Arabidopsis thaliana: one gene and its partner. The protein of the gene in region 2 interacts with the protein of the main gene of each other region in a pairwise test. Each region holds a gene or a part of one and is shown on either strand. Other genes may lie near its edges.

Region 1 (6,778 bases), 420 kb from region 2:
TAAATTCCAAAAGTGGGAGAGTTGTTTCAACTAAAAGAGCAATAAGAGGATTAAGATAAGATGAAGTTTCAAATAAGAGGATTAAGTTTTAACAATAGATTTTGACCCCAATTTTAGTACTAGATTCTTTTTGTTGTTGTTGTAGATTGTTACTAGATTCATTGTGGATAAAATCATGTTTTTTGTATTTGACAGCTAAACCATTAATTTGTATGCCAGACAACATGACCAAACCGTCTGGTCTACAAACCGAACCAAACCGCCAAGTCTACAAAATATCAAAACCAAACCTATCAATCAAACAGGAATATTCTTCCACCACCATAGGCCATAGCCCACATCCCCTACTAACTAGTGAGAATGTAGATCATAACAAAACCCAAATCTATCAAGCAAACCGGAATATTCCACCACCACATAGCCCACATCCCCTACTAGAATGTAGATCTTTATGAGGTCATGTTTGAATGGTATAATGAAATCTCATAGTAGGAGAAACCCGGTTTAACACATTTGTAGAAAACCAAGGATTCAATCAATAACCGGAATCTTGAGATAGCACCTGTCTAGCGTTGACGACACCAAAATTGAAAATTTGGCATCATTTGCGAAACAGAGAGAGATCCATTCAATTCCAAAAGGATTCTCTTTTGGGAAAACCCTAAATCGACCCACCAAATTTGGAGACTGTGATTGAGCATGAGCGTCAGAAGTTGATGAACAAAGTCGACGAAATCGAGGATTTCAGATTCGAGGATCTCGAAATGGAGACGGAGAAAGATAAGGAAAGGATGATGACGCCGACGACGAGAATGTCTTATTCATCTTCGTCGTCTCCGTCTCCATCTTCGGCTTCATCATCTGCTGCGTCCTCTCTCGCTGCCAAGGCAATTCGAGCATCTTCTGCGCATAGAGACTCTTCTCTTTCTTCTGCTTACTCGTCTCCTTCTTCTGCTCCTGTTCCCACTCCTCCCAAGGTTTCATCTTTTGTTCTTCTCTCTTTCTGGTGTCGCTTAATTGTTCATAATGATTCATGGGTTTACTCTGTTTTTGCTTCAATTGAAATGTTCCAAATGATTCATGGGTTTACTCTGTTTTTGCCTCAATTGAATCGTTTGAATAGGAGGTGAATAAGGCTTATGAGTATACTTCTATGAAGAGTTTGAATGAACCAAAACGAGGCTTTTGGGGAAGTTTAGCTAGTAAAGCTAAGGCTTTTTTGGATGAGGATGATCCTAATCAGTTGCCTCAAAGTCCTAAGAGAATGGAGCAGAGCATACCTTCTGCGACAACTTCAGGAACTAAGGTTAAAGACTAGGTTTTTATAGTTGCATTTGCTCTTCCAATTGTTTTGTGGGGTTGCGTTCTTATGGAGTAGAAATCCATTTCCATGTTTCAGGAAGCTGGTCAGACTGGTAGGAAAAGCGAGAATCCTTCATTACAGAGAAGATTAGATGCGATCACTTCATCGTTGAATTACATTGGTGGCACCATTGGTACTGTTGTTGAGGTTAGTTTCTTACTCTTTATGCACCCGTATATGGCACACTATAGGAGACATATATTAGTTTTGTTTTTTTCTTTAGGTTATGCGAGTTCTCACATTAGTTGTGTATACAGAGGCATATGCATTCTTGTGTGTATCGGTGCATCTTCTGCACTGTACTAAATGAGAGTTTGTTGGGTTGAGATTGTTGTTTGTCTGTGATTATTCTTAGGAGGGTATTACAGCTGTGGAGAATCGTACTGCAGGCATCATTCAAGAAACCCGTAAAAAGATTAAAAAAAAGCCAAGTCTTACAAGGAACCAGCAGAATCCTGAGATACAAGCTGATTTGGAGATTCAACTAAAGGCATCTCGCGACGTAAGGTGGCTGCTCTGTATCATTTATTGGTTCACAGCAGCAAATTTATATCTGCTTATTTCCGCTGCTGTTATCTCTTCAGTGAATGATTATAGAATAATCGTTTTTAGTATTGATACTGAGCCTCCTTTGAATTAATCTCAACAGGTTGCAATGGCCATGGCTGCCAAGGCAAAGCTTTTACTTCGGGAGCTGAAGATGGTAAAGTCTGATCTGGCTTTTGCGAAGCAACGATGCGCACAGCTGGAAGAAGAAAATAAGGTTCTGAGGGAGAACCGTAGTGGCGACAGTCAGACAGATGACGATGATCTGGTATTTTACTCTTTACAAAGCCATTAATGTTAACATTTCTTTATGTACATTTCTGATCTTTGGTTGTGTGTTTTCTCTCATCTATAGGTGCGACTTCAACTGGAAACACTGTTAGCTGAGAAAGCACGGTTGGCTCATGAAAACTCGATATACACCCGCGAAAACCTCTATCTGAGAGGAGTCGTCGAATATCACCAGCTAACAATGCAAGATGTGGTCTACTTTGATGAGAAGACTGAAGAAGTAACGGAGGTATATCCCATTAATGTGTCTTCAATGTCTTCTTCATCAGATAACTCTTACAATCCAAATCCAAGTTTCTTGGAGCTCAAATGAAACACCACAACAACTATCAGTTTCTGCTGTTCTTGTTGTGAATCAGACAAGAAGACAAATCGTTGCCTGTAATTGCTCTGTATTTGTAGAAATATATATACTCTGTACTCTTTATTTGGGGTGGGGTCTTAAGAATTAGCAGTGAATGTTATTTATTACCCTTAATTAACTTAAATAAAAGAAGAATGTTCTATTATTTCCCTGAAACAGTACCATGAAAGCTAAAAGTTGAACTGGTGAGTAGAAATTAGTCAATTATTATTGGATATTACCTGAAATTACAGAACAAACAATATATATATAAAGCTACATTACAAAGGTTGCATAGGCTATAAGATTTGTGTTTCTTATTGAAATACATTTTTGTAGTATAGAAAATTAGAACACCTTTTTAACATAGATTGGCTTGAAACGGCTTAACTAGCGGAACCAGCGAGCCGCTTAAGTGAAGCGACATGACTTCATTGGTCGAACCAATGAGCTTCCCACCCACAAAGATGGCTGGGACCGGCGTGGAACACCCTAACCTCATTAGGGCTTTCTCGATCTCACGACATTCAGGGTCTTTATCGATCTCATGGACTGTTGGGTGAACCCCAAGGTCTTGGAAAAGTACTTGGACCGCATAGGACATGCAACACGAGCTCTTGCTGAAAATAACCACTCCTTTCTCTGACGACATTCTCACAACTTTGTCCATGGTTTCTTGAAGGAGGTCTCGATCAATCTAGGGATTGTTTCTTGGAGAAGAAGAAACAAAATCTTCCTTCTCTTGTGGATTGAAAGAGATTTAGAACTGAAAACGCCTGAGATTAAACCTCGCTTTTGGGGTTCCTGTTTGAAGAAAAGAGGGTTTTGTGTGTGTGTGTGTGTGTGTGTGTGTGTGTACTACAGTATTAAGCTCAGTGTTGCCTGAGACTTGAGTTTCTTGAACCATATGCTATTTATAAGCAAAGAAAGAAAGAAGAAAAGAATGTTAGAGACCAAAAAAAGAGAGATCACAGGAGATCTAGCTAAAGGTTCCCCAAGTACATTAAAGTGACTTTGTTAATATTTTGTTTTCCTCTTTAATTCATATTATATTAGTAAGGAAGGACCAACAAAAGTTGCATAATCACAATTCACCTACCCTTTTTTCCTCCTAGATACCAAAGTGAGCATTTTGAGTTGAACAGGACAATATGTTTCTTTGTTGCAGATGCTAAAGAATATGGTACATCCGCACATGTTTTATATATGTATTTGCAACTTTTTTATGCATGATCGGATTAGAATCTTACAATTTATGTGGACCAAGCTTTTACTTTTTCTCTCGAAGAATATTATTTTGTTCAAGAATCATGCTCAGATGAAGGGTGTGGGTGTGAGATAGCCCAAAGTGGTGGGGAATAAGCAGAGAGATATGCTTATTCTTCTCTTGATTGACGGTATTTTTCGCAGCCACGAAAAAGAGATCAGGCTGGGTTTGATGGATTGGATCGTGTGTGTGTCAACAATTAAAAACCCTATTCTTGAAACATGTCACTATACAACAAGATATGATTGTCTTTGTGAGATTCTCTCAATCTCACTTCTGATCATGAAGGAATAATAACTCCTATCGGTTTCTTACTTTCTCTTGTGTGCCACTTCCCTTTCAACAATTTGCCAAGATTCTTTCCCATTTACCACTTGACTAAAGTAAACCAGTGATTATGAGATCCCATGTCAGTTGAAGTAAGCTTAGACCTAGAGTAATATGTATAGGACATGAATTAATTTACTAACGCCAATTGATTTTGTTTAAAGATTAAGGAACTTATTTGGTCCAAGTAAGATATGTTGTCCTTCATAGAATGAGAACAATTTGAGTTGGACCAAGACAATCATCACCTCGAAAGATAAGGATTAGAGTTAGAAATCCATGAAACTTAACATAGTTACAAACTCAGCATATATTTGGAATTGATCTTCTTGATTCTTATATTAATTATATATATGACCATCTGAATATCTATGTTAACCCCCTCTTCCATTACCACCAAAAAGTGCTTCCCGTAAGATCGGAGACTTGCCCTATATAGAAATATTTGTTTTGGTTTGGTAAAAAGCTTTCTAGGGATTATAATTAATGATTGAAAAAGGGTTAGTAGCTAAGTGAGGTTATATGGTCACTCACACGATGAAACCTTGAAGAAGTGGCCATAAAAGATAATGGCAGGCTGGCGATAATGGCTACTACAAACTCCCTTATAAGCCATGCATGATCATAGATTCATAGTTACTCTTTCTCTCCGATAAATTTATATATTTATGTTTCAAAAGCTAATAATCTTTTAAGCAGTTTTCAGAAGTGAGTTGTTTAGCTTTAAGAATATACAAGAATTTGAATATTTAGAGGGTTCATTTTCGGATATGGTCTAAAGAAATGGGCCGGGTATGCATTGTCTCGACGACTATGACCAAACTGAGAAGAAAATTGAACGTGCAACCTCCTAGCTAAGTGACATACCAATGACTTATAGAAATCTCATATATGTTTAATAAGTCATAACGCAAAAATTATTTCTAACAAAAGCAAATGGGTTGATTTTGGAACTATATTTAATGGCATAGAAAACTTCTTCGAATCAGAAAAGAATATAAAATACGTGTGAGTTAGGATGTCACCATAGAAAATCTCCACAAAAGCGTGAACTCGATTCTATATATATAACATTCAATCATTCTTACTAAAAACATCTATATATATATATTTTAAACAGTATGGATCCATTCATTCTGATCTGTACCAGATTGCAAAAATTAGTAAGATATCACAATTAAATAAATGAAATACAAATTGAGTTATTTTGGATTTTCAGATGAAACCACCAAACAAATACAAGTTGACTTGAATGTTCTCCAACGCTATTTTTTTCTCTATTATATTTTATAACTAATTAATTCATTAAATCACATGTCCAAATATTTAATGATGAAACATAAAGTAAGTAAGCTAGTGACGAGAGAAGGACACCTCATTCTCATTACATAATGTGACGAGATTGAGCTGTCGTTTTGTTGTAAATATATGGTCGGGGGTCAATTATTCATATGCAGTTTTAGGTCATTTATAAAGACCATTAAAAACGTCTTTAATATTTCAACAATCTTATAATTCAATTATTAAGAAGCATCTAGATATGGATTCACATTAGAGTTCGTATTCTTTGACAGCAAATTCACATTAGACTTTTGATATATATATTGTACATTTGTAATATAGTATACGAAAATATTACTTGAAAACTGATGTTATGTGTTGCCATGATGCCATTGGTCCATGACTTTTCCACACGAAGGCCAAAGCATACTCTTATATTATATGAGTTGAGTCATTCTTTTTTCCTTTTGACGGCAAGTTGAGTAATTCAATTCTCTTGTCACTTACCGGTGATATAAGAGTTAATCTTATAAATAGTTTTCTGAAACTTAATATACTATAACAATGTAAAAGTCGTCGCTTTGTTATTTGAAGTGAAAATTAAGCAATGTTATGATATTTTTACTAATTAACTCAATATGAAAAACAAAAATCCTCTTAACTAAAACAGAAACATAAAAGACGACTTAGTTTTTGCTTTAGATCTAGACTCATAACTCAAAAAACAATTTCATTATAAACTTTTGTAGATCTTACAATTTTAAAATAAAATGTACATTAATGTTGAAAAGCAAAATCTTAAATTAGTGTATACTACTACTTTTTTTTTATCACCGTGATAGATCATTAGATCCTTAACCTCAATCCCTAGAGCCTGCTTATTGCCTTTAAGCATTGTGCAATCACTACCAAACACACTCAAAACTAAATAAATATAATTTATAACTTATCAAATAAAATAAATACTATCAAGTGTGTATGAAATCGATGACAATTTATTTATTACCTTATTACCATTTGTGTCTTGAAGTACACGTTAAGCTATTTTTATGTGTTATAAAGGCTTCTTCGTCAACCAATTACGAAATCAAGCTTTTGAAGCTTCTCAACAATGGCGGCTATTCCTTCCCACAACAACCTTCTTACCATCAACCACAAAAACTCCATAACCGGTTCTTCTTCCCTAAATACCAATTTCTCAGAAATCAATTTTCCCGCCAAATTCCGAGTAGCTACGAGAGCTTTGTCCAGAACCGACGAGTCGTCTTTATCCGCCGTGATTTCTCGCCTCGAGCGAGAAAGGCGGGAAAGACAAGGTTTATTAATCGAGGAAGCGGAAGGAGCTGGAGAACTATGGATG
Region 2 (7,365 bases):
GAACAAAAATTCTCTCTTAAGTTATCTTTTTGTTTTGTAGAGTTTGCTTAGTTGTTTCTATATAAAGATCATTCACTTACAAGAATGTTGAGTTTGCCATCGAAAATCGAGGAGACGGTTTGCATCAGTTTTTCTCTCTCAGGATGAGAGGTTACATCACATACTGAACCACTCACTTGAAACCCTTTATTTTCCCATTCGCTTAAACTTTGATTGAGCAAAGTTTTGGATATGTCACATATGTGGATTTTAGCTCCAAAACCAGCTAACTCTTCTACTATGGCATAACTAAAACATTCCACAAATATGAATTCCATGTAATCTTGACCATTCAGGTTGTTATATCGAAGCAGAACATAAACTTAAGAGAATAGAGAAGAACTACGAACCCGATTCCGCTGGCTGCACCGGTCACAAGAGCAGTCATACCTTGAAGACTCCATAATCTTTTGTCCATTTTTCTAGTGACCATATACCAGAAATGCCACAAACTATATATACAATGAATATGGATCAGATAAGTGTGGAGTATGTTTTTGTATGTGTGGTGGAAATATTATGTAGCCGTAAGAGAGAACATTACAAAAATATCTAAGTTAGTGGCCCCGGCAAAAATGACATTTTGTAGTCAAAACCTTTGGCCAAAACTTTCTTATGGCTAGATAACAACTTTTTAGTGTCTTCCAAAAGTAGAAGTCTGATAATAACAAAGGCCTAAACCCTATTGCTTATCCACCTTGAACAAAGTAAACTAACTATGAACTCTTCATCACTAATGACCTTAGAAGATAACTCTTCTACGACTCTCTACTACTATACTACTTCCCCCAATACTCATTCTTTTCTCTTTATCTCATTTTTTCCTTGCTTCCTTCCCTATATGAAGCTTATTATAATGGCAAGCAAATAGGAAAATGTTTCTCTCATACTTTTCGTGTGACAAATAGTGATGTAAGAGATGATGGATCTTGACTTAATTTGTAATGATATCTTTAGTGAAACAGACAATAAAGGAAAGAACTATCAAGCTTTTGCGTTCACCTTTGAATTATATATATAAAGATGGTTTGTGACATTTCTCCAATTATTTCATAGGGATTTTAAAGCATGTTGTGATCTGCTTTTGGCTTACTCTTTGTTATCAGAAACATCTTCTTGTTCAAATACTTAAAGCCAGCTTAACCCATTGTATGCTTAGTTTCTTTAAATTATGATTTACATAAAAGAATGTTGAGCTTGCCACACATATAATTTAGGCGATTTGCATGTGTTTCTCTCTCGTGACAAAGATATGAACCACATACCGAACCACAATTAAAATCCAATCCCACAAAAGTTGATTGAGCATAGTTTTGCATAAGACATTTAGACAAAACACAACAAGGCCATTATCAAGCCTGTGGCTTATAAGAGAAGGCATTAACAGTGAAACCACCATCAATACAAATGGTTTGACCAGTAATATAAGAAGCTGCTGGTAGACACAAGAAGACCACTAGTGATGCAACTTCATTCGGCTCTCCAGCGCGACCAAGTGGAGTTCTACTGAACAATGCCTCCTTGAAACCGACGTCCTCGAGATACTTCAAGAACACACAATTGAGAATTAATTAGAGGAATATAATTGAGATTGTTACATTCACATAAAAAATAAAAACTAAAATGTAAATGTTGACTTTTTTTATATTACAGATTGAGACAAAGGAGTCTTGACAACATTAGGTGCAACAGCATTGGCTCTTATGCCGTCTTTTGCCCATTCACATGCTAAATTTCTAGTTAACTGGTTCAAAGCTCCTGTAAAATAAATCAACAGAAAAAAGCAATTTAAAAAAAAAACATATTTGATTAGTCAGTCTTGCAATGAACTACCTCTAGTAGCAACTTTGGTTACCTTTAGTTAGACTATAAATGGATCCACATTGAACTGATACAACCCCTGTAGCAGAGGACATAAAGACGATGCTTCCAAATCCTGAAGCCTTTAAAAGAAGATGTGAAAGCTGGCTAAAATGGAAAGCTGGTTCCAAATTTGTTGAGATGTGGTAAGAGAAATCCTCTGCCACATATTCTGTTGTTGGCTTTCCACGTATTACACCAACATTGTTTACCTACATATGATTAGGCATTTCCATAAGATTTATGTTAAGAAGCTCTCTTTAAACAACTATGCTTGGCTTTTCGCCTTTTCCTATAAGATCATTTACTTACAAGAATGTTGAGTTTGCCATCAAACAGCGAGGAGACGGTTTGCATCAGTTTTTCTCTATCGGGCCGAGAAGCTACATCACAGATTGAACCACTCACTTGAAACCCTTTCTTTTCCCATTCACTTAAACTTTGACTGAGAAGAGTTTCAGAGATGTCACATATATGGATTATAGCTCCAAAACTTGCTAACTCCTCTACTATGGCATACCTACACTACACAAAAATTCCTTTAAGTCTTGACAATTTAGAAATACAAGAAGAACAATGAGCCAAAAACATGATATAGAGAACAGAGAATTAAGACGAACCCGATTCCACTGGCTGCACCGGTTACAAGAGCAGTCATACCTTGTAGACTCCATCTCTTATCCATTTTGCTTGAGACTAAATGACCAGAAATGCCATAAGATTATATACAATGAATGTGGATCAGATAAGTGTGAATTATTGAGTTTGTTTTTTATGTGTGGTGGAAACATTATGTAGTAGCAGTAGGACTTATAACAGAGAACATGACTAAAATATCTAAGTTGGTGGTTCCTCAAGAAAATAACTTGTTGTTGTCAAAATCTTTGACCAATACTTTCTTATTTTTCTTTTTCAATAACTTCACTCACAAAAGAAAACTGAAATTATAAGTTAGAATGGTGAACAAAATTTGGTACACTTGCTAATTTAGATAACAAAAGGACATTTTTATTGATTGGTCTTGTTCTCATGATGGACTTCGGAGTGGTCCATTGAACTTAGAGGACTCATTCTTGTGAGTATGATTCTATGACTAACGCTATTTAGTGTTATCTTTGATTCCATCTAGTACTTATGACATTAATCCATATATAGACACATAAGTTGCAATAATTAGAGAAGGATAGTTTAACCAAACAAATAAAATAGTACTAGTTTAATTGATCCTTCATATAGATAAGTCCCTCATTTCTCTTACAAGACTAAAGAGCAACAATTTGACATTGTGTGTTTTTGTACAAGGGACATAAACTCATAGCGTGATGAGAGATTTTATTAGGGAGAGAATATTTAAACAGACAAGAAACGACAAGACCATTTTCAAGCCTGTGGTTGAGAGGAGAAACCGTAAACCGTGAGGCCTCCATCAATACAAATGGTTTGACCTGTGATATAAGAAGCTGCAGGAAGACACAAGAAGACCACTAGTGATGCTACTTCATTCGGCTCTCCAGACCGACCAAGTGGAGTTCTACTAAACAATCCCTCCTTTTTACTGACGTCTTGAAGAAACTTTTAAGAAACAAAAATTTAGAGATAATAAGAGGAATTGAGGTTGTTAAATTCACAACAACAACACCAAAACGTAAAAAAAAAATTAAAATTTATTTCTTACGAATTGAGACTGAGCAGTCTTGACAACATTAGGTGCAACCGCATTGGCTCTTATGCCGTCTTTTGCCCATTCACATGCCAAATTTCTAGCTAGCTGATTTAGAGCTCCTACAAAAGAAGTCAACAAACCACTAAAAAATAAGGAAGTGAAAAACTCTTTGTTGATTAGTCAGATTTGTAGTAATTGTGGTTACCTTTTGTTAGACCATAAAGTGATCCACAGTCAGTTATTGACACAACCCCAGAAACAGAGGAAAGGAACACGATGCTTCCATAGCCTGAAGTCTTTAAGAGAGGATGTGAAAGTTGGCAAAAATGGTAAGCAGCTTCCAAGTTTGTTGAGATATGAAAAGTGAAATCGTCTGCCACATATTCTGTTGTTGGCTTTGCGCGAAGTACGCCCACATTGTTTACCTATGTTGAACAAAAAGAAGATTTCTCTTTAGAAAATTTTGCTAAAAGAAATGCTTAGTTGTTTCTATATAAAGATCATTTACTTACAAGAATGTTTAGTTTGCCATCGAAAAGCGAAGAGACGGTTTGCATCAGTTTTTCTCTCTCGGGACGAGAGGTTACATCACAGACTGAACCACTCACTTGAAACCCTTTCTTTTCCCATTCTCTTAAGCTTTGATTAAGCAGAGTTTCGGATATGTCGCATACATGGATTCTAGCTCCAAAACCAGCTAACTCCTCTACTATGGCATAACTAAAACATTCCACAGACATAGATTAAATTCCTTGAAACATAAGCAGAACAATGATTCAAAAGATGATATAGAGAACAGAAAAAAACAAACCCGATACCGCTGGCTGCACCGGTTACAAGAGCAGTCATTCCTTGTAGACTCCATCTTTTATCCATTTTTCTTGCTTGTTACTAGCAGTGACCAGAAATGCCACAAATTATGTATACAGTAAATGTGGATCAGAATCCAGATAAGTATGAATTAATGAGTTTGTTGTCTTGTTTGTACGTGGCATGTTGAGAAACTATGTAGTCGTATGTTAGAAAACATGACTAAAATATCGAAGTGTCCCAAGCAAAAAATGACATATAGTCAAAATCTTCAACAGTGAAGCCATCTGTCCTTTTGAGTCATCATTGCATGATTCTGTCTTTGTGCTTGATCAACTGAGCATTGTAAGTTGATGAGTGTCGAAGCCCATCTTCTCATTTGAGTTCAACTTGTGTTCTGTTTCTGCAAGGCTCGTGTACTCTTAAAAGAAACATCTTCTGTTAAGGTTTCTTGTTCATTACGTTTTACAATATGTCAACATACCAAAATGAATTTAGTTTTAAGGCTTAACCTAAATATTCAAATCATTCATTTTCCGATGTTATTGTTTGGTTTACTGTTTTCATTGGACAATACACACAACACAGACCTAGCTCAAGCATGTGGCTGATAGGAGAAGCCATTAACAGTGAGACCTCCATCAACACAAATGACTTGACCAGTAATATAAGAAGCTGCAGGAAGACAAAGAAATGCCACAAGCGGTGAGACTTCATTTGCCTCTCCCACACGCCCCATGGGTGTCCTTTCCTCTGCTTCTTTTTTCATCTCCTCAACACTGAGAAGCTGAGGGATTTTCAAATAAGTTAAAAAGTTAGAATCAAAAGTTATTTTTTATTTTTTTTTCGCCGTTGTTCTAAGGAAATTGTCCTTACATCACTAATCAAAGGAGTTGTGATTAACCATGGACAAATAGCGTTAGTCCTTATGTTGTCGCTTGCCCATTCGCAAGCTAAGTTTCTAGCCAACTGATTCATGGCTCCTGAAAAAAAATGCTTTTATATACACTTGCATATAAATCATAATGTAAAGAAATATTGTTTTAAAGAGTATATACAGTACCTTTTGTTGCTCCATAGATGGATCCAACACCGACATGCACGACTCCGGCAATAGAGGACATGAGCACAATGCTCCCTGAGCCAGAGGCTTTCAACAAAGGGTGCGCAAGCTGTGAAATATGGAAAGCTGAGTCGAGATTTGTAGCCATAAGAAACGAGAATTCTTCTGCTGTATACTCTGTGGTCGGCTTGAGCATTAACGTTCCCACATTGTTCACCTATATATAAGATATGTATAGACCAACAACTAAAAACATCTTTACAAAAAAAAAAAAAGTAATTAAAAACACAACATGGTTTGGTTCTTGTAAATCCCAAGCCCGGGGAGGAGAAGCTAATATGTATACACTTACGAGGATGTTGAGTTTTCCTTGGAAGAGAGAGGAAACGGTTTCCATGAGTTTCTCTCGTTGCTCACGCAAAGAAACGTCGCAGATAGAAGTGGTGACCTGAAACCCTTTTTCTTGCCATTCACGTAAACGTTCTTGAAGCTGAGTCTCGTCTCTAGCACATGTGTGGACTCTTGCTCCCAAAATTGACAGTTCCTCCACAACAGCTTCCCTGTTCATGACACGCACACACACACAAACATAGTCAGTTCTTCCATAACTAAATATCACAATGCAATAAAAGAGCATCTAAAATGGAGACTGACCCGATGCCTTTAGTGCCACCGGTCACAAGAGCATTCATACCTTGAAGACTCCATCTTTTATCCATTTTTTCTTGTATCTTACTTGAAGTGACCAGAAATGCCACAGATTTTGTATATACAATGAATGTGGAACGGATAAGTATGAATCTAGTGATTATCTTTGTATGTGTGGTGGAAATAATACGTAGCCTTACGAGTGAAGATGAAAAAAATCTAAGATAGTGGTCCTAACCAAAATTGACATTTTATAGTCAAAATATTTGAGCAAAACTTGCTCATTGTCATTTCCATTAACTTCACTCACAAACGTCTTACAAGAATGTTGAGCTTGCCCTCAAACAACGAGGAGACAGTTTGCAGAGTGTTTCTCTCTCCGGACGAGAGGATACATCACAGATTGTACCACTCACTTGAAATCCTTTCTTTTCCCATTCGCTTAAACTTTGATTGAGCAGTGTTTCAGATATGTCGGATACATGGACTTTGGCCCAAAACCAGCTAGCTCCTCTACTATGGCATGCCTAAAACATTCCACAAACATAAACTCCTTGAATTCTTGACCATTTTGGATATCAAATAGAAGTAGAAAAATGGGGTAAGAAGACAAACCCAATTCCTCCCGCTCCACCGGTCAGAAGAGCAGTCATACCTTGAAGACTCCATCGGCTGTTATCCATCTTTATCTATCACATAACTAACAAGAGCTTCTTTAAATTGTATATAAAGATAGATTACTAACAACTTTGTAAATAAGAAAAGATACAATTACATGATAGACATTGGGCAACTCCTGATAGTTACATCTAGGGCTGTCCATCTTACCTAAACTAGTGGGCGTTTGGGACCGTGGACAATGATTTTAGCTATCAAAATTATCCGAACATATATTATATTGGAATACTTACTCAAAACCCAAATACTCAAAACCCAAAACCCACTATTTCATGTCTCATTACTCTAAATGGAAACCCTTAGTGACATCTGCATACTTTGATGGACCCTCATTTGACACCCATGCTGAGGAAAAAAATCTCTCAACATCAATTCTGACCACTTGTCTTATCTTGAGTTTATTTCAAACCCAGCTAGCTAGTTCTTCCACTATGTGGTATGTCAGTATATGACCACTTGTAGGATTTGGACCAAAGTTCTTTTATAAATTACTAGAGAATACCCATGGATATTGAATTTTGGGATTTCAAACCAAATTAGACACTCCATCACATGTTGAGACACCAAATGATACCATTAGGCGTTGGCCAAAGTAGATAATGAA

The links.
Region 1: the proteins of AT2G29310 (region 2) and AT2G30540 interact in a two-hybrid assay, tested with the Arabidopsis thaliana proteins (one large-scale study listed by BioGRID).

The regions. Positions count from the first base shown.
Region 1 is NC_003071.7:13,008,355-13,015,132, forward strand, and holds AT2G30540 (Thioredoxin superfamily protein), read right to left. Parts: upstream 3,690-6,778; 5' UTR 3,214-3,689; coding exon 2,905-3,213; 3' UTR 2,751-2,904; downstream 1-2,750. Other genes in the region: AT2G30530 (zinc finger CCCH domain protein), read left to right, coding at 717-977, 1,124-1,306, 1,400-1,510, 1,719-1,865, 2,013-2,177, 2,265-2,513; AT2G30550 (alpha/beta-Hydrolases superfamily protein), read left to right, coding at 6,530-6,778. UniProt on the Arabidopsis thaliana protein: May only reduce GSH-thiol disulfides, but not protein disulfides.
Region 2 is NC_003071.7:12,585,287-12,592,651, reverse strand, and holds AT2G29310 (NAD(P)-binding Rossmann-fold superfamily protein), read right to left. Parts: upstream 2,787-7,365; 5' UTR 2,585-2,786; coding exon 2,520-2,584; intron 2,425-2,519; coding exon of another isoform or gene 2,420-2,424; coding exon 2,212-2,419; intron 2,112-2,211; coding exon 1,895-2,111; intron 1,798-1,894; coding exon 1,691-1,797; coding exon of another isoform or gene 1,682-1,690; exon of another isoform or gene 1,584-1,681; coding exon 1,392-1,583; 3' UTR 1,173-1,391; downstream 1-1,172. Other genes in the region: AT2G29320 (NAD(P)-binding Rossmann-fold superfamily protein), read right to left, coding at 81-288, 390-472; AT2G29300 (NAD(P)-binding Rossmann-fold superfamily protein), read right to left, coding at 3,009-3,110, 3,313-3,471, 3,575-3,681, 3,768-3,987, 4,075-4,282, 4,374-4,438; AT2G29290 (NAD(P)-binding Rossmann-fold superfamily protein), read right to left, coding at 4,968-5,159, 5,249-5,355, 5,436-5,652, 5,788-5,995, 6,090-6,154.